Struthio camelus: one gene and its partners. The protein of the gene in region 1 binds, or shares a complex with, the protein of each later gene. Links are inferred from orthologs where the notes say so. Each region holds a gene or a part of one and is shown in the gene's direction. Other genes may lie near its edges.

The links.
Region 2: the proteins of WNK4 (region 1) and KLHL2 are in contact, whole or in part, in a crystal structure (PDB 4CHB), measured with the Homo sapiens proteins. The link is inferred for Struthio camelus from reciprocal best matches to the Homo sapiens genes WNK4 and KLHL2. Residues at the interface, in NP_115763.2 of Homo sapiens: Glu557, Pro558, Glu559, Glu560, Pro561, Glu562, Ala563, Asp564, Gln565; in NP_009177.3 of Homo sapiens: Arg345, Phe361, Gly363, Ser364, Leu365, Arg366, Thr392, Phe408, Gly410, Ser411, Thr412, Gly413, Ser438, Ser439, Tyr455, Ser487, His504, Arg534, Tyr583.
Region 3: the proteins of WNK4 (region 1) and KLHL3 are in contact, whole or in part, in a crystal structure (PDB 4CH9), measured with the Homo sapiens proteins. The link is inferred for Struthio camelus from reciprocal best matches to the Homo sapiens genes WNK4 and KLHL3. Residues at the interface, in NP_115763.2 of Homo sapiens: Glu557, Pro558, Glu559, Glu560, Pro561, Glu562, Ala563, Asp564, Gln565; in NP_059111.2 of Homo sapiens: Arg339, Phe355, Gly357, Ser358, Leu359, Arg360, Thr386, Phe402, Gly404, Gly407, Ser432, Tyr449, Gly451, Ser481, His498, Arg528, Tyr577.

The regions. Positions count from the first base shown.
Region 1 is NC_090966.1:7,833,382-7,841,218, forward strand, and holds the start of WNK4 (serine/threonine-protein kinase WNK4), read left to right. Parts: upstream 1-4,788; coding exon 4,789-5,289; intron 5,290-7,837. UniProt on the Homo sapiens protein: Serine/threonine-protein kinase component of the WNK4-SPAK/OSR1 kinase cascade, which acts as a key regulator of ion transport in the distal nephron and blood pressure.
Region 2 is NC_090945.1:43,282,081-43,289,332, forward strand, and holds the start of KLHL2 (kelch-like protein 2), read left to right. Parts: upstream 1-4,219; 5' UTR 4,220-4,375; coding exon 4,376-4,398; intron 4,399-4,877; exon of another isoform or gene 4,878-5,736; intron 5,737-6,030; exon of another isoform or gene 6,031-6,129; intron 6,130-6,688; exon of another isoform or gene 6,689-6,812; intron 6,813-7,102; coding exon 7,103-7,228; intron 7,229-7,252. UniProt on the Homo sapiens protein: Substrate-specific adapter of a BCR (BTB-CUL3-RBX1) E3 ubiquitin ligase complex that mediates the ubiquitination of target proteins, such as NPTXR, WNK1, WNK3 and WNK4, leading most often to their proteasomal degradation.
Region 3 is NC_090954.1:5,722,439-5,729,993, reverse strand, and holds the start of KLHL3 (kelch-like protein 3), read left to right. Parts: upstream 1-4,491; 5' UTR 4,492-4,524; coding exon 4,525-4,634; intron 4,635-5,065; coding exon 5,066-5,182; intron 5,183-7,555. UniProt on the Homo sapiens protein: Substrate-specific adapter of a BCR (BTB-CUL3-RBX1) E3 ubiquitin ligase complex that acts as a regulator of ion transport in the distal nephron.

The DNA.
Region 1 (7,837 bases):
GGCCGGGAACCTTCCCTGCGGCTCTGAGGTCACCGCCGCGTCTGGCCGCGTTGATTGCGGGCTCGCTGGCCAGGGCGAGGCGGAGCGCGGGGGCCTGCTGCCGAGATAAGGGGCTATCAGGCCACGCACGCGCCGAGCCCGCTGCTCGCGGGCAGGAAACGGTTCAGAGCTTTTTCATTTAGTGCAGCTGGTCAGGATCAAGAGTTGTTCCAGTTTGATAAACACGTAACCTGGGATGAATTTGTACACGGGTTACGTCTGTAACTCTGGGCTGAGGAAATCCTGAGAAGACTTATCTGCCTGGAGCTAAAGGCACAACTGAGGTTTGAATGACATCTCGCCCTCCCTGCAGTACGTGCGCTAGGGTAAGGATGGCCCGCAGGGAGACGAGCGAGGAGGGGGCACCAGCAGGTATGCAGTGCCGCAGCCCACCAGGAAACAGCTCCCGGGTCCCCTTCCCTGTCGGCATCCGTGGGCGGTGGTACTATCCTGCTTTACGCTCGAGGCAGCGCTTGGACCCTGCGCCTGCCTGGCAGGGGTGGCGTGAAGGAAGGCTGGCGGGGCCGCGCAGCTGGCCTCTTCCGCCTGCTCGCCTCTCGTGCCGCTCTGGCCTGGTCGTGCCGTTCCCGCTGGTCCTGCGACGCGTTCTCTGTGTCCTGCTCCCTTCTTCTGCTTCTGGCTCCTAAAGGCCTTTTTCTGCTCCGTGCCTGTTTTAGTGGGACCTGTTCGCCCCAACACGTTTCCTAGTAGGAAAGGGTGTATTAGTGGAAGCCTCCTCCCTGCTCCTTTCCAAGATATGCAACGGTTAAGGCAAATCCAGGAAGCTCAACTCACTTGTCGGACTAGCCAGATCTGCCGTTTCACTTGCCGTGCTGTCCAGTCTGAACTGGGTATCCCCGTCTCATGCAGAAGACACCTGGGCACCACTGGCTGAAGGAGGTTCGTAGGTACACAGACCTCCTCTGTGTCTGGACCCGTCTTGGCCCCTCGCTTATGCTGCCAGGAGCTCTGAGGTCAGAACGGACAAGTTCTGGCAGCGCTCGCTGGAGCTAGCACGGGAGACACCGGCGCGCTTAGCTGAACAGTTCTTTGATTAGTGATCTAATCCCAAGGAGAGTGATTACACAGTCCCCTGTTCTCTTCCTGGCAGCCAAATGCATGCGAAAAATAGGTTAAATTGCCTGATTACAGCGGTTCCTCAAAGTGAAGGGCTGGCACTGGCACCACAAGCCCAAGAGAGACGTCACCCTGATAACGTGCAAGGGTGTTGTGTGTGTTTTCTGAGCACTGGGAATGAGCTGTTGATTGTGGACTGGAACTTTCTGCTTTCAGCCCAGGTCTGAGTCCAGCTTGCTACCTCAGGACCGGGTCAGGAAGGCACCCGTAGCGAACCTAACAGTCTCTCTTGTGGTCGTTCCTGTTCTTGCCCTGTGCAGAAGGGAACGGAGAGTTGCGATCGGTTTTCTCTCCCTCTGGACACAGCCCCGGGGCCAGAAGCAGCCGAACGTGCCGTCCCTGGAGCGCTTGCCGTGTCGGAGGTGGTGGGAATTCCCTTGCAGAGCAGCAGCATTTCTCTCTGCGGATAGATTCATTTTCCTATTTAATTGAGGAAGCGACCGGTCTGCGCTGAGTGGTGCTGAGATCGATATCCCACCCTGAGGGGCAGGCCCCAGCGGCTGCGCCGGAGCTGCGCGGTGTCCGGATTCGCCTCCGTTCTGGCGGCTGTAGAACGACACTCGACGTTCCCCCTCGCTGCTCTGTGGATCAAGTGGAGGATTTTCAGCTAGAAAAGACTGAAATCTCCGGCTTTGCTGAGAGCTGCAGTCAGGACCGGATAAAAGTAAAAGCAATTACTTTTTAAGCAGGGAACTTTTAAAACCTGACATATGTTAGATGGGTAGGAAAGCTACAGCCCTGTTTCCCGCGGCTTTGACGGGCTCTGGAGGAGAGGTGAAAGTCAAAAGATGGGGCATGAAGGATGGTTCTTCACGTGTCTCCTCCTCCTGCCTCCCCTGGGGCTTTGGCAGATGGTCCCCTGGCTTGTGCACGGGCTCTTTAACTTTGTGCAGCCTGCAAGACGCTGGAGGAGAGAGGTCAGTAGGAAGCGGGAAGCCTGAGAGATGCCACGTGGGAGGCGTTTGCGTGGGGAGCTGGGATACCCCCCCCTTTCTGGATGTGGATCTGGTGAAAAGGGCAGATGTTTTTGCCCTGGCAGAACGGTGCATCTGAATAAAACACTTCATTTGGCAGAGTGGAGTCCAACTGTGTCATATTTTACAACACAACAGTCTTCCACACCAGGAACATTGTGTGTGCCACACCTATCAGCCCGTCTGTCCTGGCCTTTTGTCTTTGGCAACAATCAGCCTCTGGTGCTTTGGGACAAGGGGCACTTCCTCCCAGGAGGCACCAAGCGGAGTGCTGCGGAGGGGCAGACCTTAGACGTGCATGCTTCAGCCTTGGGTGGCTGTTCTCCCGCTAGCACATGCCCTGAGCACGCTCTTGGGAGCACCGCATGTAGGTAAGGATGTGGTCCCGTCTCTCAACTCACCAACCCAGGCTGCACATTAGCAGTTTTCAAGCAAAAAAGAGACATCCGATCACATTCTCCTCTTGGGGCAGTTTTACCTGGCTCCTTTGTTTTGCGAGCCGGGCAAGCAGGGATGAATGAACGGGGTCATGTGAAGGTAGCACAAGCCTGCCTGTGCCCGGGAGATTAGCAGTTTGACACTCGGCCTATCCAGGGCTGCTGCAGAAACAACGTTTCATTAAATGCGTCTCCCTCCTCCCGCCCGGACGGGGGGTGGGATTTGTGGGGCTGCAGCTGTGCTAGACGTGGGCTGCAGCGGTACTGTGAGTCAGGGCTGCAGCCCAGGGATCACTCGCTGTCCTCCTGCATACGCCGGGTTAGCATTTGAAATCTGTGTGGAGGACATTGCTGGGCTACTATTTCAATCCTCCCCTTAATGTTTCTCTTATCGTTGAATAGAAACAATCTGATCCTAGGGAAAATAAATTAATGTCGGCTTCAATTGCTTTGTATTTTGTGTAAACAGTTCCACTAAGTAGAACAACTTCTTAGTTTAAACCGTAGAGACAACAAGCTCTTGTCTGCGCTCTGGGTTAGTGCATGGCTGGAACAGACATTCATACCTTAATATTTGCATGGCCCTAATTTTAGGATTTCACCCAGTAGCAAACTGAGAGGATGGGCTGTCAAGCTGAGCAGACAGGCGCGGGACCCGATAGCTTGTCAGAACAGCGAGCGGCAGGAGGTGCTCCCCACAACCTGGGAGAGGGACAGCTGCTGTTTCTTGTAAACCCGCTGCTCTGAAATCTCAAGTTAAAAGCTCTAAGTAAATGTCTAAAACAAGCACTTCCCTACAGCTCAGTGTAGCCTGCGTCACCCTGTCTGATGCTTCAATTACACTAGCCCCATTGCCAGGATTGTTTCCAACGCTGCTGGAGAGCAGAGCGCTGGCTCAAGCCTGGGAGGGAAAGGGGCTGGCAGCCGCTTCTAGCTCTGCAAGGAGGGGATGGCCGTTGCACAGCAGCTGGGCTCAGAGCTAGGCTTGCAGCAGGGGAAGGACGGGGCACATGCCCTGCCTTGGGACCTGCAGCCATCCCAGCACCTTGTGCCCACGCGCAGCCCGTGTGCGGAGCCTGGTGCCTGGGATGCAGTGCCTGGTGCTGGTGTGCGGAGCCCAGTGCCAGGGTGCCAGGGACTGTGGGCCGTGCACAGAGCGGTGCTGGGGGCTAGGGACGCTGCATGCAGCTCCTGCACGCAGTGCCTGTGCCTGGTGCAGACTACCCAGAACCGGTGCTCAGCACGTGCAGCCTGTGCCCAGTGTGCGGTGCCTGTGCGTGGTGTGCATTGCCTGGGCCACGGTGCCTGGTGAGCTGTGCTGCTGCCCCATGCCCATGCCCAGTGCGTGGAGCCTGGTGCCTGTGCTGGTGCCCGCTGCCCATGCACGCTGCCCATGCCAGTGCTCGTGCAAGGTGCACAATGACCATGCTGGTGCCTAGTGCCTGTGCCGGTGCTGGTGTGTGGTGCATGTGCCCAGTGCATGGAGCCCAGTGCCAGTGCGGGTGCCTGTGCCCAGGGCATGGAGCCTGGGGCGGGTGCGTGGTGCTTGGGTGCACAGTGCTGATGCACAGTGCGTGGAGCCTGGTGCTTGGCTGTGCAGTGTTGGTGTGGGTGCTGGCACCCAGTGTGTGGTGTCCGGGTGTGTAGTGCCAGTGCGGGTGCCAGTGCCCAGTGCATAGAGCCCGGTGCTGGTGCCAGTGCAGGTGCTGGTGTGCGGTGCCTGGAGCTCAGTGCCGGTGCCTGGTGCACAGAGTCCAGTGCCCGGTGCCCGGTGCCTGGAGCCTGGTGCCGGTGCCGGTGTGCGGTGCACAGAGCCCGGTGCTGGTGCCGGTGCGCGGTGCACGGAGCCCGGTGCCAGTGCCAGTACGCGGTGCACAGAGCCCGGTGCAGGTGCCCGGTGCCCGGTGCCCGGTGCCGGTGCCGGTGTGCGGTGCACGGAGCCCGGTGCAGGTGCCGGTGCGCGGTGCACGGAGCCCGGTGCCGGTGCCGCGGCCGGCGGGGGCCGCTCCCGCGGCGCAGGGGGGGCGGTGGCCGCGGGGAGGCGGTGCCGGGCCGGGCCGGGGGCGGTGCCGCCGGGCGGGGCCGGGGCCGGGGCCGGTGCCGGGGCCCGGGCCGGGGCTCGGCGGGCGGACGGCGGCGGCGGCGCCAGGTGCGAAGCTGCGCGGGAGCGGCCGAGCCGCCGCCGTCGCCGCCGCGGGCCGATGCTGGCGGCGGAGCCGGCCGCCGCCGGCGGGGCCATGTCCCAGCCCGAGGCGGAGCGGGCGGGCGGCGGCGGCGCGGCGGAGGAGCCGGAGCCAGGACCGGGGCCGGGGCCGGAGCCGGAGCCAGGACCGGGGCCGGGGGCCCCCGGGCGGGCGCCGCACCGCAGCCGCGGCCGGCGGCTCTCGGGGCGCGAGTCGCGCCGCGCCTCCGCCCGCTTCAGCCGGCGCAGCTCGGCCGAGCTGGAGCTGCTGCGCGGTGCGGCGGGGCCGGGGCCGGGGCCGGGGCGCGGGGGGTCGCCGCCGCCGCTGCCGCCGCCCGCCGGGCGCCGCCGGGAGCCCGAGGAGACGGAGAGCGAGGAGGTGGAGACCCGCGCCGTGGCCACCTCCCCCGACGGCCGGTTCCTCAAGTTCGACATCGAGATCGGCCGCGGCTCCTTCAAGACCGTCTACAAGGGGCTGGACACGGAGACCACCGTGGAGGTGGCCTGGTGCGAGCTGCAGGTAAGGGCCGGGGCCGGGGGTCGGGGCCGGGGGGCTGCGGGAGCCCTGCCCGCGGGCGGCACCTGGGCGGCGGCGCCCCGACCCCGGCCCGGCCCGGCCCGGCCGCCTCTGCCCCTCCGCGCTGCCGCCGCGGGCTGCCCGCCCCGACGGAGGGGCCGTAGCCGGGGCCGCTTGGCAGCTCTTCCCCTGCCGGTTGCCCTGGCGCCTGCAGCCGCCCTGCAGCCGTGAATCCCTCTCGCTGCCTCCGGTGCCTCCCGGGGCGGCCGCGCTGCGCGGGGGAAGCGCGAGGCAGCTCCCCTTGGGATGCCCAGAGCAGCGCACGGGCGGTTGTTAGTCGTGTCCGTGCCATTTCCGCAGCCGGCTGCAGCAGCCGAGCAGGACGCGGTCCTTGCAGCCGGGCTCAGGTTCCCTCGCTCCCCGAAGGTGCCTGCGTGCTGGCCGGCGCCTCGGAGCCGCGCGGGGGCTGCTGGCCTGGGCCCAGCTCCGGGCTTAACACGGCGCTTCCCAGCCCTCCCGCCTGTCACGTGCTGTTTTCCACTCGCCGTGTTGCTGGCTGCGCGGTGGCAGCGCTCCTGGTGCGCCCGCGCTGCCCGTGCCGGTCCCGCTCCAGGAGTTCGCGGGTGGATCCAGCCCTGCTGCTGGGGGCTGAGCCCTGCGCTCGCCCCTGGCAAGGGCGGTCTGGGACAGCAGCGCCCTCTCCTCGGCCCGTGGCTCTGCGCCAGGGCTGGCGGGCTGCTCCGATAGCCCCGGGCACGCCGCTGGGCACGTGTTCGCAGTGTGCTTGAGGCTGGGTGCTGAGCCTGCTTCCAGGGTACAGCGCGTCCTTGGTGCGCGCCGGCCGCTCGTCCTTGACTGCGGCGCTGTCCGTAGGCACCTGCGGCGCCGAGGTCCCTGCCGCGCGGCCGGCACGCTTGGCTAGCTGCGCCTGCAGCTGCGGCTTTCCAGGTCTGGGAGCAGCTGCGCTGGCCCCTGTCTCCCCCCGCGTCCCGCCGTGCCTTTCGCTGTCCTGCGGCCCGACCGCGGGACGCTAACGCCAGGGCGCGAAGGGGAGCAGCGGGGGGTCGGCTCCCTAACGCCTTCGCCGCTCGGGTGAGGCCGCGCGTGGGTGGTCTTGCTGCGGGGCTCCCTCTTCCTCCGCAGAGCCCCTGGGGAGGGGCTTCCGCTAAGTCCAAAGTCTCGGACGGGCTCCTTCGCCCTGGTGGCTATTGTAGCTGGAAGGTCCAAGTCCTTGTTTACACAGAAAAACGTGTCTTGCAAGTTTGTTGTCTTGTTCCTAAAACCTTGGTGCAGCTGCACGCTGCTGCATCCCTGGGGACGGCTGCAGCCTGGCAATGGAAGCAGAGATCCTTAGGTAATGGTGAATGCTTTCAGGAAGGGCTCGGTGTTCCCTGTTAGCGAGGAAGGTGAGGCCTTGGCCCGGCGTCGCGGGATTGCACAACTGCTCCAGCTGCCCGCTGAGCGCATGCTGTGTCCCACCCTCGCTTTGCACCTCGTCCCGTTGCAGTGCTCCCGCGCTTCCACTTGCGTCTCGTATCCCTTCGCGTGCTGCTGAGAAAACCGGTCTGGCCCTGACAAGGAAGGACGTTTCTTGCTAAACCCTGCGGCTTTCTCTGGGCGAGTCAGCCGTGCCCGGCTGGCGTCGCGGCAGACCGTCGTGGGTCTGCGCCCTGTCTTTGCCCACGCGCGTCCCTGCTCTCCCGGCTTCACCGCTAGCGTGCGTGGCAGGTCCCGCTGCTGCACGGCGCTGCCTGGCAGCCCCAAGCCCCCGGCCCCGCTGCGGCAGACGCCCCTGGGGGTGGCCGGGCTGCGTCCCCCAGCTGCAGGAAGGGAATCGCCCCGCTGCCGGCGCCCGTGGGGCCGGGGAGCCGCTCGCGCGCGGTGCAGCCGCCCACGCGGGAGCGTGCCCGCCGCGCCGGGGAGAGCTGGCGGCCCTCGGCCTCCTGCGGCGCGGGGGGCCTCGGGGCGCGGGCCGGCCCGGCGCAGCGCCCCTTCCCGCCGCCGTGGCTCTCCCCGTTCCTCCCCTCCGCCACCTCCTGCCTGCCGGCCCTGCCCCTAGCTGCTCGCTCTCCGTGGCTCCTGTCCCAGAACCCACGTCCCATTCGGGTCTGAAAGCATATAGGCAGACTTTTAAAAGTCTGTTTTCCTGCAGCAACCATGCAAAGAATCAGACACTGTGACACAAATACGGGATTTGTAACCGCAAATAAAAATGGTTGTGGTTCTGCCCTTTTAAAAATAGCTTTGTCCCGTGTCTTTCACAGTTCTCCTTTTATTGCCTTTCAAATATAACCGAGTACCTAACCTCAGCCCTGACCTGCAGTTCCGGCTCTGAGAGCCTTGTCCGGCCGTTGCGACGTCCCTCGATCCCAAATCGCAGCTCTCCTCGCTCTCCCGCCCGGCGCCGGCCGTCCGGAGGCACGGGCTGCGCCGCTCCCGCGGGACCCCCGTCCTCGGCGTCGCGGCCGTCCCTGCCTCCTGCCCGCGTCCCGCAGACCCGCCGCGACCTGTTTACGCTTTCCAGCTTTAGGTCCGAGGCTATTTCAGTTGA
Region 2 (7,252 bases), on another chromosome or scaffold:
GCCTCAGACGTGTTCATAGAAATTTCGACTGTAATTTCTCAGTAATTTGCTGTAGTAGTACAAATCAAAACCATGATCTCTGCTTGCTTCCATTCATAATGCTTGCTTGAACTAGGACTGCTTTTTCCATGACACTAAAATGAACTTGCAGTCTGCAATGAACACTGTACTGTCCAGAACTGACCACAAATACTTGACTTCCCCATTCTCCAGAACTCAGAAGCTTCATACCATTTGCTTTTTTATTTGCCTTTTTTTTTTCAAAACTAGGATTAGAGCGTTTAAAATCTGTTTGCTAGACTGTGTGCCATATCGAGTATTTTTGGAAATACACCCTTTTTGATTTTAATCAGTGGAAACTCGGTTCATAATTACTAGTTGTACACCATCCTTATCACAGGGTCTGTGAACTTTCTACAGATAAATATTACCCTTCATCTGTTTTCATTAAGGATGATCATTCGTGGTACGATGCGTCAATTGCCTACACTGAAAAATAATACTGTAAAAGATTTAAAATATTTTTATCCATGCTTAATTGTGTTTAACTGATCGTGTTTAACTTAATTGTGTTTAACTGATTTTGGTCACAGTACATTTTATTTTTGATAGAGCTGTTTTCCTATTCCTCTTTACTTCACACTCTTGACTTATGTATCTTTTTTTTCCCCTTCTTTCTGCCTACTCTCCAATACATATTCCTCTGCAATCTGGTCCCCTTCTCCTCTGTCTGCTGCATGCACTTTCTTGCATTTCCCTTGCATGTTATTTTTCAATGTAATTCTTCTCAACTGCATTCATGTCCTTAGATCAGTGGTTCTCTGAAACTTTTAATATTCCATTCTTCTGAAAAAAAAGTCTCTTACACTATATAATGCATTATAACGTTAGTTAACGCTTGATTAATGCTGATACTAGTACTAGTATGTTAGGCAAAAAATGCAATAATAGGCAATGACTGTGTTGACCTGAATTCCTGCCATGAATTCCACATGGGTGATTTCTTGTGGATCTACATAGATGCAGGGTCATGTCGTATAAAATCTGTTGCTCATCTTACTGGGGGCGAAATGCACAGCAAAAAGAGTGGATGTGTGCCCTAAAAGATTCTGAACAAAAAAGATATATTTTTACTTACATTTTAAACATAAATTACCTACAACAAAATTCAGTAAGATACAACTTTAACAAATTACAAATAACGTAACAGCTAACAAAGGGAGGAAGGACCTCGTTTTTTTTTTCTATTTGCAACAGCAGCAAAAGGAGAGCAATACTTCAAGTCTTCAATACAAAGTTATTTTTTCTTTTTTGGAGAGGTCCTCCTAATCTGGATTTGACCATTAGAAATACAAATAAGAGTTTATTTTAGTGTTGTCTGTGGCTAAACCTAATACAGATTTTTTCCAGCATGACCGTGTCAGCCTGGTGTGATCCCTTAAAGATGTCTGTAAAACACCATGTATGCCTGGGGTTACACTGACTTTTACCAGGACTGCTTATTTCATTTGTAGGACCGGGTTACTTGTGGGACTGTCTTACTAGAAAGTATCGCTTTGCTAACATAGCTGCATTTTCAGCAGATGCACTTTGCTGATGTACAATATCAGTATTTCTATATTGGTAAAGTACTTCTAGTGTCAATAAAGTACTTCTAGTGTCAATATATCCCAAGAAATCTGCAGTAGTTAATAAGCATTGTCCTGCAAGCGCAGAGCTGGATGCATTCCTGTCGAACTCCTCAAAACAAGTGGGAACGGAACAAGGGTCCCCAACGGAACAGGGGCAGTCCTAAGCACAAAAGTGAATTTCCTCAGTCAATGTAGTGATTCGAATTGCTGCTTCTTAAACAAAAATGGCAGCTGTTTTGTCATAGGTAAGAAACTTGGCCTATTTCCTTTGAAAACTACATATATACACACACGCATAGGTAAAGTAAATTGTTCTCTAAAAGTTCTTTCTACGCAGAATAGGTAATAGACCAAACAAAATCTCACAAAAATCCAACTACTGTATATAAAAGATGTATTTCCTCATGGTTGGAGAAGGATGTGTGATTGTTACTTTGCCATAACCATGTGACATATTTGGATACAATCATTTATATGTGTATGATTCCTTTCAGGAATTACTGAAGTACAAAGACATAATTTTAGGCGGGGGGAAAACATCACTGTCCCATTTGTGTTTCTTTCTGATGTAAAGCATCACAGAAGTTTCTTAAACTAACAGTAAACATTTGGTTGAAAAGCCAGAAAACATTACAAGAAAAATGACAGAACTCATAGGCTGGAAATGCTTAATGTTAATTTAAGAATGAACATTACTGAAAAGTTCTGCCTTGTTAACAGGAGGCAGAATCAGCCTATGTGCTTGAAGGAGCTGTAGCCAAGTAGTGTAAAAACCCTGCCTCAGCTCCCAGACAAACTTTCAATGACTATGTATACTAACATGAAGCCTTAAACTGTGCAGTCGATTGCTGCTAAGATTCACTTAGGTCTCACAGATCAGTAAAAGCTAAGATCTCTCTCTGTTTTTCAGAGTAACTCATTTACTCTGGGAAACAGAAACCTGAAAGTATGATGTGACAGTGATCAGTAACAATCTAACGTACCAACGCCAGACTGCTTTTGAAGCCGTAACTCAGAACTCATCTCTAATATGTCCCATTGCGCAGGCTGAAAAGGACGCTTTTAAGCTTCCATTTCAGAGTGCATTATTGCAAGCTGGTCCCTTTGGAGCGGATTGCCATGCAAGCAGGTTTTCTTGTTTCTCTTTCAAATCTTCAACAAGTAGCTTGTCTTCTCCAATACAACCCAGAGGCAAACTTTGCTGTCTCTTGAGAAGAGACAAATTCAACGCTTACAAAGCACAGGCTTTGTGAAAACAGGCACTGTCAATTGTGATGATTCCATTTAGAAAAACCTCCAGTGGAAACCTGTTGAAAGATTTTTGAAGCGTTCCCAAATTAAACATCACAGTATAGTGAAAGAGAATTGGTAAACGGAGAGATAATTTTAGAGAGAAACTGAAACTGCATTTTCCCAGTGAGAATGTTATTAAAGATTAGCAAAGATGAAATGATACATCATTAAAATACATTTAGTTTTAATAATATCTGACTTTATTAGAAACACTGGGGAAGGCTTTATGTATCCATCTATAACATTCACCCGAAGTACACTACCATTTTCTATTTTGCCTTCTCCAAACGTGCTGTCCTCAAACTTCCCTCACTTTTAGAAAAGTAGTTTTGGTCAGTTAGTGGCAAATCTATTAGTTTCAGATAAACTTTGTTGATAATCAAATCTCTCACTCCAGAGGAGAACCATTTTATTTTTACTGAAACTATCAGTCATAAACACCTTAATTGTTTTCAGCTTGATAAACACCTCTGCTTCCGCTGCACAATCTTTCCTTAAGATTTGGAAGTAAATTACAGAGGTTTAAGTACAGTAAAATCTTCTAGAATCCTCCAAGACAGAAATTGCTAAGCACAGTAGTCTTCTTGAGGGTTTGCAGCGGAGCAGCTTCCCAAGACAAGTATTTGAAATAGATCCCTGTCCTGTTTCCTTCAGAGATTCTGCATCACAGAAGCTACCTAAACTAACATTAAAACAAAAAATTCAACGACTTAGTCCTAAACCTCAGGGAAGGATGTGATTATGTAACTAAAGACTGGCAGAAGGCAGCTGTTTTGAGCAAAACAGTCGCTGTCCTGCTGGGCTGGGCGAGGTGACAGCACATTAGATCCGCTGAGTCCCAGTGAACCAGAGCACCCCAACCGCAGCCCGCGGTGCTCCAAGCCCCTCTCTCCTCCGTCGGACCCTCGCGCCTGCGAGACCTTTCCCTCTGCCCTTTCCCCGAGCTGCAGCAAAGCCGAGCGAGCAGGTGCCACAGCAGCTGCCAGACCGGCCCGGCGGGAAGCAGCAGGTGCCCCTCCACGGCCTGTACCCGAGGGCCGCCTCAGGCGCACCCCCGCGGCCCTGGCAGGCGCCTGCCTCGGCGGCGCCCTCCCCGCCGCCCGCTGCAGCCCGCCGCCGCCGCCCCGCACTGGGACCGTTACAAGGAGCGGGGCGGCCGCCCGCCGCCGCCCCCCGCCCAGCGCCTCCCGCCCCGGCCCCGGCCGCCGCGCCTGCGCCGTGCCGCGCCGCCCGGCCCGCCACCGCCCTCGCGCGGGCTGGAACCCGGAAGCGGGCGGTGCCGGCGGGGCGGGGCGGGGCGGGGCGGAGCACCGGGGGCGCGGGCGGGCGGCACAGCGTCGTGCCGTGCCGTGCCGTGCCGTGCCGTGCCGTGCCGTGCCGTGCCGTTGGCATGGTGCTGGCGGCAGCGCGCGGCGCCCGCGTTGCACGCAGGACGCCCGAGCGGAGCCGCGATGGAGATGCTGCTGCCGCCCGTGTGAGTGCGCGGGGCGGGCGGGCGGGCGGCGCGGCAGGGCCGGTGGCGGTGGGCGGCCGGGGGCCCGGCGGTGCTGCCGCACCTGCGCGGGGCGGGGCGGGGCGGCGCGGCGGCCGCGCCCCGTCGTGGCGGCGTTGGCGGACAGCCGTGCCCCCGGCGCCTTCCCGGCCCCTCGGCGTCGGCGCCCGCCGTTTTGCTGACAGAAAGCCGGGTTTTGGCGGTCTGGCGAGGCGAGGCCGAAGGCGGCGGGGCCTTGGCCGCGGCGGGGCCGGCCGGCGGCGCGTAGCCGGGGCCGGGGTCAGGGCCGGGGCCGGGGCCGGCCGTCGTGACCTTCCGCCCGGGGCTGGTGGCCGGCGAGCAGGAAGGAGTTGCGGGGGTGGCCGGGGCCGCTGGAGTTCAAAAACGCTTCGCGGTTTGCGGGGACAGGCGGTTCCCCCCCCCCTTCCTCCCCTTCCTCCCCCTCGCTCCTTCTGCTTCCTCCTTCTGTGCTCCCGATTTACTCCCTGCTTGACTCAGCAGTCATCATGCTTGTCGCACTTGGAGTTTTCTGATTATTTAGTTAAGCGTCTTTTTCAGGAGCGGGCCATGCGGTTGCCCCCGTACTTCGTTTGGGTTCAGCCCTGATTTTGTGCGCTCCAGTTCAGCGCAGCTTCCTCCTGCCTCCTTCAGGATGTTGTGTTTTCAGATACTTTGTAGCTGAGGCTCTTAAAAACGAACTAAATAAGATCATTCACACACAGCTTTGGCCTGCTTCGTGAAACTGTAAGGCAGACTCGTATAACTCGAAGTAGACAAAGCGGCCCTAAAAGCAGGAGGCACCTCGCTGGTGTTTCTGTGGGTGTCGTTACCTTAAAACAAACCGGTCCTTTTTCCAGTACTTCACCAAATGGTTTTCAGCTTCCCAGGAACTGCTCCTAGGTGCTTGGTCGCACCCTAAGGGCAGCTCCTGCCGCTGTTTCTTGCACGTCAGCCAGCGTGCGAGGTGTGTGCTCTGTGTATGTGTGCAGCTATGTACACAGCAGTACCTGATGTATCGCTTTGGGATGCGGAAAGGTGCTGTAGAAGATGTTCCTTCCTTGAGTTTGGTAAATCAGTAGTTTCTTTAAAGCCTGGGTCGCTACCTCGCAGTTAGTCTGTGGTCTCCTGAATGTTCCCTGATGTCACTGATTTCTCGCTAGCTCACTAGGGTAATATTCAGTTTAAAGGTGTATGCTAGATAATATGCTTTTTCTTTTTTTTTGGACCTCAGAACAGCATCACGTGTGTGTTCTGTAACATGGACTTTTTCTGACTGATGCAAAAATTGTCCTGTTACTTGACCCCTTTCAGAAATAACTTGTATCCTTTTCACAACTGAGTGTGAAACTAAATTCTTAGCAGTGTGATGTGGAGTGCAGTAAGTTGCTAGTGGTTTGAATTCTGTAGATGGAACTTATTTTGTTAACCACACATTTTGTTATTCCTTTGTTGATTGATGCAGTTTCATGCTGTTTCACCTCAACGTTTTGTTACTAGTTTTGGAATGATTAAAAAATAAAGCCAGCTGGTTTACAGCTGCTTGTAGTGCACAGGGTATAGAATTCCAGATTAAAATTTTAATTATCCTTGAGTTTTTCTTTAAAACTTCTTCAGATATGCCTAAGGAAAAAGTTTTAGGTCTGGTAGAAGAGAGATTGGAGTTCTGGCAGTCAAAGCATATGTTAAATTTAAACTATTTTTAACTTCAAGTAGGTAAGATCAAGTTTTTATTTGAAATCATCTCTCTGATGTACCAGAGTCAGCTGCCCCACGGAGTGACTGTAGTGCCAAAAATACTTTGCTTATTTCTAGTTTGGAGGTTGGGGAATAAAGTTACATAGCATAGGTGAAAAGGTGACTGATACTAAGTGTTTAGTAAATACAGCAATAATGTAACTTACCATGTAAGAATAGCATCATGGCTATAGACCTGAAACTTGTTGGCGTGGCTTGAAAAATTCACTTGCCATTTAGATAGTCCTAGCAAATGAGAGATGTATCTAATCATTTTTCTACAGAATTTAAGTTTGCTTGTATAAAGGGAGAATTGTAATTAGAGCTAATGATTATCACACTGCAGAGTTTTTTTTTCCTACTTTTTTTTTTTTTTTTAAGTGTAAGAATAGTTAAGAGTCGGATCATTTTTTGCTTTTCAAAGCATGGAGTGGATCGGTGAAACTCCCCAATTGTTGTCATACCAATTTATGTTTTGTGTCACTGGTTGGAAAAGACTGAACAAACTGCAGTTGTCATCATGTGGTCTTCCTGCCAGGAGAGAGAACCTGGAAGCTGCATGAATCAGTGAGGGAGGTCCTGATGGAAGGGCAGAGGACTGCTCATTTCTAGCACACGGGTGATGACTTTGAGAGGCTGCTAATAATGGATGCTTCATTCTGGTGAGAATCTGGACTGGCAGCAGGATAAAAGTTTAAGGACCTCTATTTTTCCTAGAATTTCAGAATTTATTAGAAACGTTCTATGGCTTCATGCCCATATGTTTTGTTTATGGAGCTTACTGTGAGCTTGGAATGCCTCTATCAACCTCATTGGTATTGAGGACCTACAGTAGAATTTGGCTGAAGTAAGGAACAAGTTGAAGTGCTCCCTGTCTCCCCCCCCCCCCCCCCGATAACGAGGAATAAAATAGAGCTACAGAAGTATTAACTTAGCTCTTTTTTCTTTCCAGATGTACCAAACTTTGCCATCAGAAGCCACTGGATCTGAAAGATGATAACACTGAAAAACACTGTCCTGTTACAGTGAATCCGTGGCACATGAAGAAAGCTTTCAAAGTTATGAATGAATTAAGAAGGTATTACTTTACTGTATACATCTT
Region 3 (7,555 bases), on another chromosome or scaffold:
GGTTGGGTGCGTGCACTCCGATTCTCAATTTGCAAGGTGCGTTTGAGTTTGGAAAGGGAAAAAAAAAAAAAAAAAAAGGAATGTGAATTTTTGGTTAAAGAACTAAAAAAAACTTGTAATTTTAAATGTGCCTTTAAATGGTGCTAATCTCTTCATACTATTTGTCTGAGAAATACAATACCTGCCTTAGAAGGTAAATGACGTTCTTGTCGTATTTGCGTCGTTTTGTGTTGGTTCCAGCATTGTCAGAGAACTCTCTTCTTCTCAGTAATTCCCGGCGCCTGCGTTTCTCCTGAGATCTCCTCTGAGATCAGTGTTCCTTTTGGGGTCTGTCATCTGCCAATTACATATTCCACTAAACTGATGTCTCAGTGTAGATTCAGGCACTGAAAAAAACCCTGTAACTAAATTGCAAATAAATATTATTATGAAAACAAAAAACCTTTCTATTATGTTCCCTGTAATACATTTTAATGATAATATTTCTCTGAAATCCTCTCAAATCCATCTGTCTGTTTAGATTCCTTCAATCACAGTTTTTAATATCTTTCTATTGACCCAAAGAAAATTCTAGAAGTTGGGATTTTATAAATATGCCATCACACTGACATCCTTTTCTTATTTTGTTTTGTCTGACTCAAGGGATGGAACCGTCGGGCATAAAGTCTTTATGGTTTTAGTTACTGATTCTGCATGAAAAAGTTGCTCCAGTTAAGGTAAAGCTTACTTTTTTTTTTCCCCCGCATTCTGTCAAGACTAAATTAATATTTTGGTCTTCACTTGTCTTAGCAGAAGCATTTAAGCTTTGAAGACTAGGAACAGCTATTGGGTATCTTTTAGGTTTTTAGAGCAGAACTGTGTCAAACCTGTGAGAAAGTTAAGAGTAAGACTACAGCGATGTTTGGCAGTGCATCCCAAAAGAAGTGCTGTAGGCTTAGGACGTTCATAGTTAACATGTCACTCCACTTTTCAGTTAACAGAAAGCTATGAAAGGCCAGTTCAGGACGCCCAAGTAACCTTGGCTCTGTCCTTTCTGAAACATCAGTACCAAAGACCAAAAAGATAACTACTGCACGCTGTTTGTCTTTCTCTGGGTGCTGTGTGCCATAAGAGGCTGCCAGGTTTCCAAACCGTTTGGACCCCAGGAAGCTGGAGCCATTTGGAAAGCAGCACGTGCATTTACTGATTTCTCTAAGCCGAGCACTTTTTGCTGACCTCCGCTGAGAAGGATGCGCGCGAGGCTCTCCGCCTCAGACGGCAAAAGCCTCTTGGTGCTTGGAGAGGATGAACAACCCACCCCACTTCCAGTGTCAGGGGCTGCGTTCCTGCCTGAAGGCTCCTGGCCGGGCGTTGCAGTGGCTGCTCCCTTCCCGTAGCTCCAGACACTGGTGGTGGGGCTGTCCGACCCCATGGAGGTGCACAGGTCCACGAGTCCCGTGGTGCGCGGGAGGCCAACCCTCCGCCAGCACCAGGGGCTCCACGATGTGTACGAGGCAATCTGGACCGCAGACCTCTGCGTGCAGCTGCAGCAGAGTCCTGAGGTGTCCTAGCAGTCCCAGCCTTGGTGGCCCTGTCCTGGCTTGCCTCCTCCTGGAGCGATCGGGATTGCCTGGCAGTGCCTGGGTCAGCCCTGGGGTGGTGCAACGCAGCTCCGCCGCGAGAGCGTGGTCGAGCTGTGGGAGAGACGCTGGTGGTGTCCATGTGAAGGTCAGGAGCTGAGCCCTGAGGACGTTCCCTCAGAAGTGTGAGCAGAAGCCCGTCCTGTCCACCGCTGAAGGAAGGCTCATTTGAAAGCTGCTGTTTCTTTAGGGTGAACTTCTGGCTCCAGTGAAGCCAGTGGTGGAATTGATTGTTGGCAGAGTCACCGTTTTCGTTCCTGGGGTTTACCAGCTCTCTGCACAGTAATAATTTTCTGAGGGGACGGTTTAGCTCAGAGGAAGGCTTTTATTCTTCCTCATAATCTACAAAGACATCTGTAATTACTGCTGGTAACTAAGGCAACCCAACTTTATAGTTAATGCATGCATGCAGCAGAGCTACGGGTTATGGGTTTTTAAAATACCTTCTTGCTGGTTGGTATGCAGCCTGAGCTCAGACAGGCCCTGCTACGTGCCTGCAGGTAGCTTGGGCCAAGGCCTACTAGTGTGTCTGTCTTGTCTTGGAGAGGAGGACAGTGGTGTAAAGGGGCTTCTGATTAGCTTCCCTGATGCCATTTGGGACTTTGAGATCAGGTCCATTTGTTTTATGTGGGGGGAGTGCTGAAATGAGGACCTCGCAGGAGGTGGTGGTGGTGGTGGTGGGGCTGGCGCTCTGCCTCTTTGCTTATCTTGGGAGGATCCTGCTGTGCCCCTAACAAGGTTATTAATCCAGCCCGGGGGAACTAAATCGTTGTCAGCGCGTGGCCTCGGATGGCCCAGGAATAGAACAGATTGCTCTTGGCACCCGGGTGGCAAGTCCTGCTGGTGCAGGAGGACGCCGCTGCTCGAATGTAAAGGTGCTCCAGGGAAAGTACATCTGATTACGGAGGAGAGGGACCCTTGCGTGTCCTGGTGTTCCCAGCCAGTACCTTTGATTAGAGAGCTTTGTTCTTTTTCTTTGTTCTGCTAATAAAATAGTGGAGTAATTCCTAAGTAGAACAATTTTTAGTGTTGTAGGAGAATACTCAGAAAAGTGTTATGTAATGCATTATTTTCTTCCTCTCGGGGTAGTTTTTGCTTTGTGGCAGATTGCATTTACTTGGATAGTTTAGGCCCTTGCCTTTTTATGGTGGAAATGTGTCAGTGGTATCAGAGAGCATGTGTATGGTAGTGTGAAATCACTGTTCCAGAGAAAGGCATCCCCACTGTATTAATGGTACAAAAATCTATGGAAGCTGAGTCATTTTGAAGCATGAGTTAAAGGCACTTAGCTGTTAAATTTTTTAACATGTTTTTTATGTGAGTCATTTGAAAAAACTTTAAATAGCATATCCTGATTTTTTTGAATCAAATTGTATACCAGACTATCTGCAGAACTTTTTTATGGTGAGTCTTTAGGTATTTGGTAAAGTCTGAAATCCACCTGTGCTAGCAAGTGTGAGAATGTCTTTTAGGACAGTTTTTAAAAGGTTGCTCTTCACGCTCTTTAGGAGGAATTGGTCAATCGTTTTTTAAAAATTCCAGAGCAAGGTTTTTGCTTTTAAAGCGTACAGACCAATATTGGTGGCGTTGCAGCTTTATGGAGGCTGGTCGATCTGACATTTGCTTTTGGGGTTCAGTGAAACTTGCCGCGTCCTTTGTCCTGCATCTCTTGCCGGCTGGAAAGTTTGACAATACGAATCTTTGCTCTCTGGCGCCGAAATGCTACTAAATAAATCTCAGTAGGGTGTAGTAGTCTTTCTTATTAAAGAAACCTCATGATTTTTGTTTGCATCGGTTGATTTTTGGATGGGGTAAGGTCAATCTTTGAACGAGAGGGAAAGCAGCGTGTTGCGGAGGCCCAGCTGCTCCCACCCCGGAGCCCTGCGTGCAGGTGTCTGCTGCCTCCCTCTTTCACTTTTTTTTTTCTTTTTTTTTCTTTTCTCTTGGCTTCCTGTAGGTGTTTCAGCTTTGGAGACCGAAAGTTCAGTGAAGTTACTCGCGCTTTCAGAGCCTCGTTTCTCGCTGCTGGGCTCTGGCCCGCCGCGAGGGAAGCTTTGGCAGTTTAAAAAGCAAGGCTTTACGCTGCAGTTTTGAACGCTGCGGTCGAATTTCACTTGGCCGAAGATTTCAACGCAGGCTTTTGATAGATACATCACTGAGGCTTAACCGAATTTGGCAGCGTCCCCAGCGAGCAGTTGGCCGCTCCGTGCGCGTGAAGGCTGCTAGCGGCGCGGGCAGGAGCAGGGAGGGTTCAGCTTGCCCTGGGCACAGAAAAACCGGTTGTTTCGTTGCCTGTTTTTTCACCCGTGCTAACTCAGTGCCTGCCGCCGCGTGCAACTTGGCCGCTGTGCAGCGGGTTGCTTCTGGAAGAAGGACGAGCCCATCCAGGGAGGACGAGCGCGAGGTGGCGGAGGCGAGGAGCTCGGCGTGGTCCGGGGCCGGGCAGCGCGGGGAGGGTGATCTGCCCTTCGCTTGGGGCTGCGCTTAGACGTGGACCACCTTGCTCGACCTGTCTTGTTTGCTTTTGGCTGCTGGAAGGTCGGAGGAATGGGCTCTGGATTTCAGCAATGAGTAATCTCGCTGTAAAGTGCTGCATTTTTTTTTTCTTTTTTTTTTTTCCACAGATGGAAACCTTTAGCTCCGAGTGATTTCACACGCTTTCAGATCACAGAGGTAGATATATCGACCTTATGTCGATTGTGGATAAAGAGCCAGGGCTCAGCACAAAGCAATGAGGACGCGTCTGTGCCTTAGGCACCTGTTGGCCTGGTTAAACACAGCACGTAATGGGGCGCATCTGATTTTACTTTGCCTATATACTGTGCAGTTCTGATAGGAAATTCTGGTTTAATAATTCTTTCTACAGGTTTCAGTGACATTAAGTAGACCTATTTCTGGAGTGGAAATGAGAAGGGGCTTCCGTAACGCTGATGCTCTGGGAGCTGTGAAAGCCCTTTTTGGATTTTCCTCTGTGGAAGGAGATACAGGTCATATATGTCTGCCTGCGTTTTTCAGGTGGGAATTTGAAAACTAAACTTGTGTTTCTCTGTGTGGATGTTAAGGTATTCCTGGTGCTCTCGTAATTCCCAGTGCTGAAGTCTGTTCCTCTTCAGTGAGGCAATTATGTTTTGGCTTGGATTTCCGCTTATTCTGCTTTCCTGGACCGGAGCCTGTAGGGCTGGGCTTTGTCCTCGCGTGTTTGGTGCTTTTTTCTGTTCCTGATGGAAACGTGGGCTGGTTGGCTTTCGGCGTCCCTGCGGAGGTAGCTGCCTTCTCTGATGCTCTGCGTATGGCCCACCTGGGCTGCCTGACAGACATACAAATAACTCCGTGCGTGCACTGCCCTCCGTGGCAGTTTTACGGTTCATTTTTTTTAGTGCCATTAAATCAAACTTTCTATTCCTTTTTTTTTTCTTTTTTTTTCTTTTTCTAATCCCTATTTTTAGCGTTAAGCAGAGTTCCCGATCCTCTGAGGCAGCCGAAGACGAAAAGGAGCAGCGCACGGTGACGGTCAACCCCTCTCACATGAGAAAGGCATTCAAGGTCATGAACGAGTTACGGAGGTACGCTTTCGACCGACTGGGCATCCCCTCCGGTCTGATGAGAACCGAAGGGCTTCTGGGGGACTTGCAAGAAATCTGTGCCATCTCTGTCACGGCTAGCGGTTGCGTGGAGGTTGTTAATAAACAAGTAGGAAGGGACAGTTGAAACGTGGCCGTTCCTTGCTGGGTTGCAGCCTCGCACCTGCCTAACTTTCCGTCAGAAACCACACAGCTGTGTCTCAGAAGCACTATCTGAGCAATATGCTCTGTTTATAAATGATAATTCATCTAGTGCTTTCCATTACTTACAGCAAGTTCTGCTGTAAACTGTGTTCTTAACTGAGCTAATGGTCTGAAAACCAGTAACAATATTACAGACATTAAGACACCACGTAATTACAGACGAAGGATTATTAATGTACCGTTCCTGTTCTCGTTGACTAGTGGTGTCACTCACTCTGGGCTTTGCCCTCTTAAGTAGGAGGGGGAGGAAAAAAAGCAACCTAGGAGGAGGTCATACCCCTATTTGCTAATTTTAAATCCTAATATTGGTTAAAGGAGAACACTGTGGTGTCTTTGCACAACTGTGTGGGTAAAGGGAGGAGGAAGGTTGAAAAAAAATCTCAGTGAAGGCATTCTTTAAGACACCCTTGCCCTTGCATCAGCTCTGTGGTGGCCGTGGTTAAATCTGAGTTGTTTCTTGGCTGTTATCGTCCCCTGAGTCAGAGAGAATTTTAGTGAGCCTTTTTCCAGCTAGTTCATTTGAGCCCTTAACCATTCAAACAGAGACTTGAAAACCCAATTAAAAAAAAATTTCCTATATTCCTAACACTGCACATAAGCATACGCGCTGCCTTGCTATGCAGATGTTATGGTGAAAGCAGATAACACTTCACTCTTCCTGCATGCTCTAAGTACTCGAGAGATGCTGTAATAGCCGCCTCTCTTCTGTGGATTAAGTACTTTCCTAACATACACGTTCTCCAGCACAGAGAAGGATTAGAAACGTCTCCGTAGATGTTTGACAGTGATTCTCAGCTGATGCATAAGGAGGAGGAAAATGGAAATAGCCTTCCTTTGTAACAAATACGTGAAGCTGAATATGTTTTCTTCTTGGCATCCCTCTAGTCCTCTCTTTGTACTGAGAGCAAAAGATCTGAAAATAGAGGTTTGTGCAGCTATATTCAGAAATCTATTGTGCTACTATTATTCCTTTGTTAATTGAAGCGTAGTGGGAATAGCTGGAGACTGACAATGTGTCTGTATTTAGCTAGATCTTGTGCAATACTGAAATGTTAAAATGTTTAAGGTTGAAGCTGCCCTTAAGCACCTGTTTACTGTTGGATTTTTTTTTTTTTAACTTTCCCCTTGGGTGCGCTCCTTTTTCTCAGCTCCTGCTGCTGTTCTGGAATATGGAGTTCCCATGTCTACATGTATTGTGCATTGAACTTGCGGTCAGTTAAGCTGTCAACAATCAGTGTTAATAGCTGCCTTGAATAATAGTGCCTCAAATTGAATGCCTTTAGAAGGTCTAGAGAAATCTTGCTAAACCTTTAACCTATTTGCTGTAGGTTTTTCACTTGAAATTTTTAGCTTCCAAATAAAAATCAGATTAATTTTCATGAGAGATACCTTAGATGAATATAGATAAGCTGAAGGGAAGGAGAAGACCCTCACTGAGTGACCATTAAAAAATTTCTCTACTTACCATCATCCATTCTAAACTGGGGAAGAGTAGAGAACAGACCATCTTTTCCTGCTTACTCTCTCCCTATGTTCAAACTGTAACCCTCTGTTTCACAAACAGTGTTTGTTTATTTCAGTGCATGGAGGAGAGGAGGGAGACGTACCTAGTCCCTTAGAAGCTCTGTGTGTAGTTGATGTGCAGTTTTCTAAAGAAAAAAAAAATGCAGCATTGTGATAAACAGTTCTGAAGAGAAGGCAACATCTAGATTTACTGTCTCTGATCTGTTTTCAGGCTTGACATTTGAAAAGAACACCCCTTTTTTTGCATTTGTATGCTCAGAGATCTTAAACCAACTTACTGGGAGGCTGAGCACTTCTAGCTGTCTGCATCTCAGCAGTCCTGTGCAAACATTAACTAATGAATCCTCAAAAGACATACACGGAACTGGTAGGAAAGGTCACGGATTAATGAAGTGACTTTGCCAAAGCTGTACAATGAGTCAGTGAGGGATCTCAAAGTGTTAGTTTCTGTCTGGAACCCCTTGGTTTATCTCATTGACTCTTAATCCCAGCCTAATTCATGCATTTAACTTAAGTTTTATCAGGACCACTGATAAACTCTAGTGATTGACTGTTCCTTGTTGGGAGAACCATGGGAAGCCCTCTGTGCTAGGCAGGACAGAACTGATGTTTGGGAGCTCGTGGGCT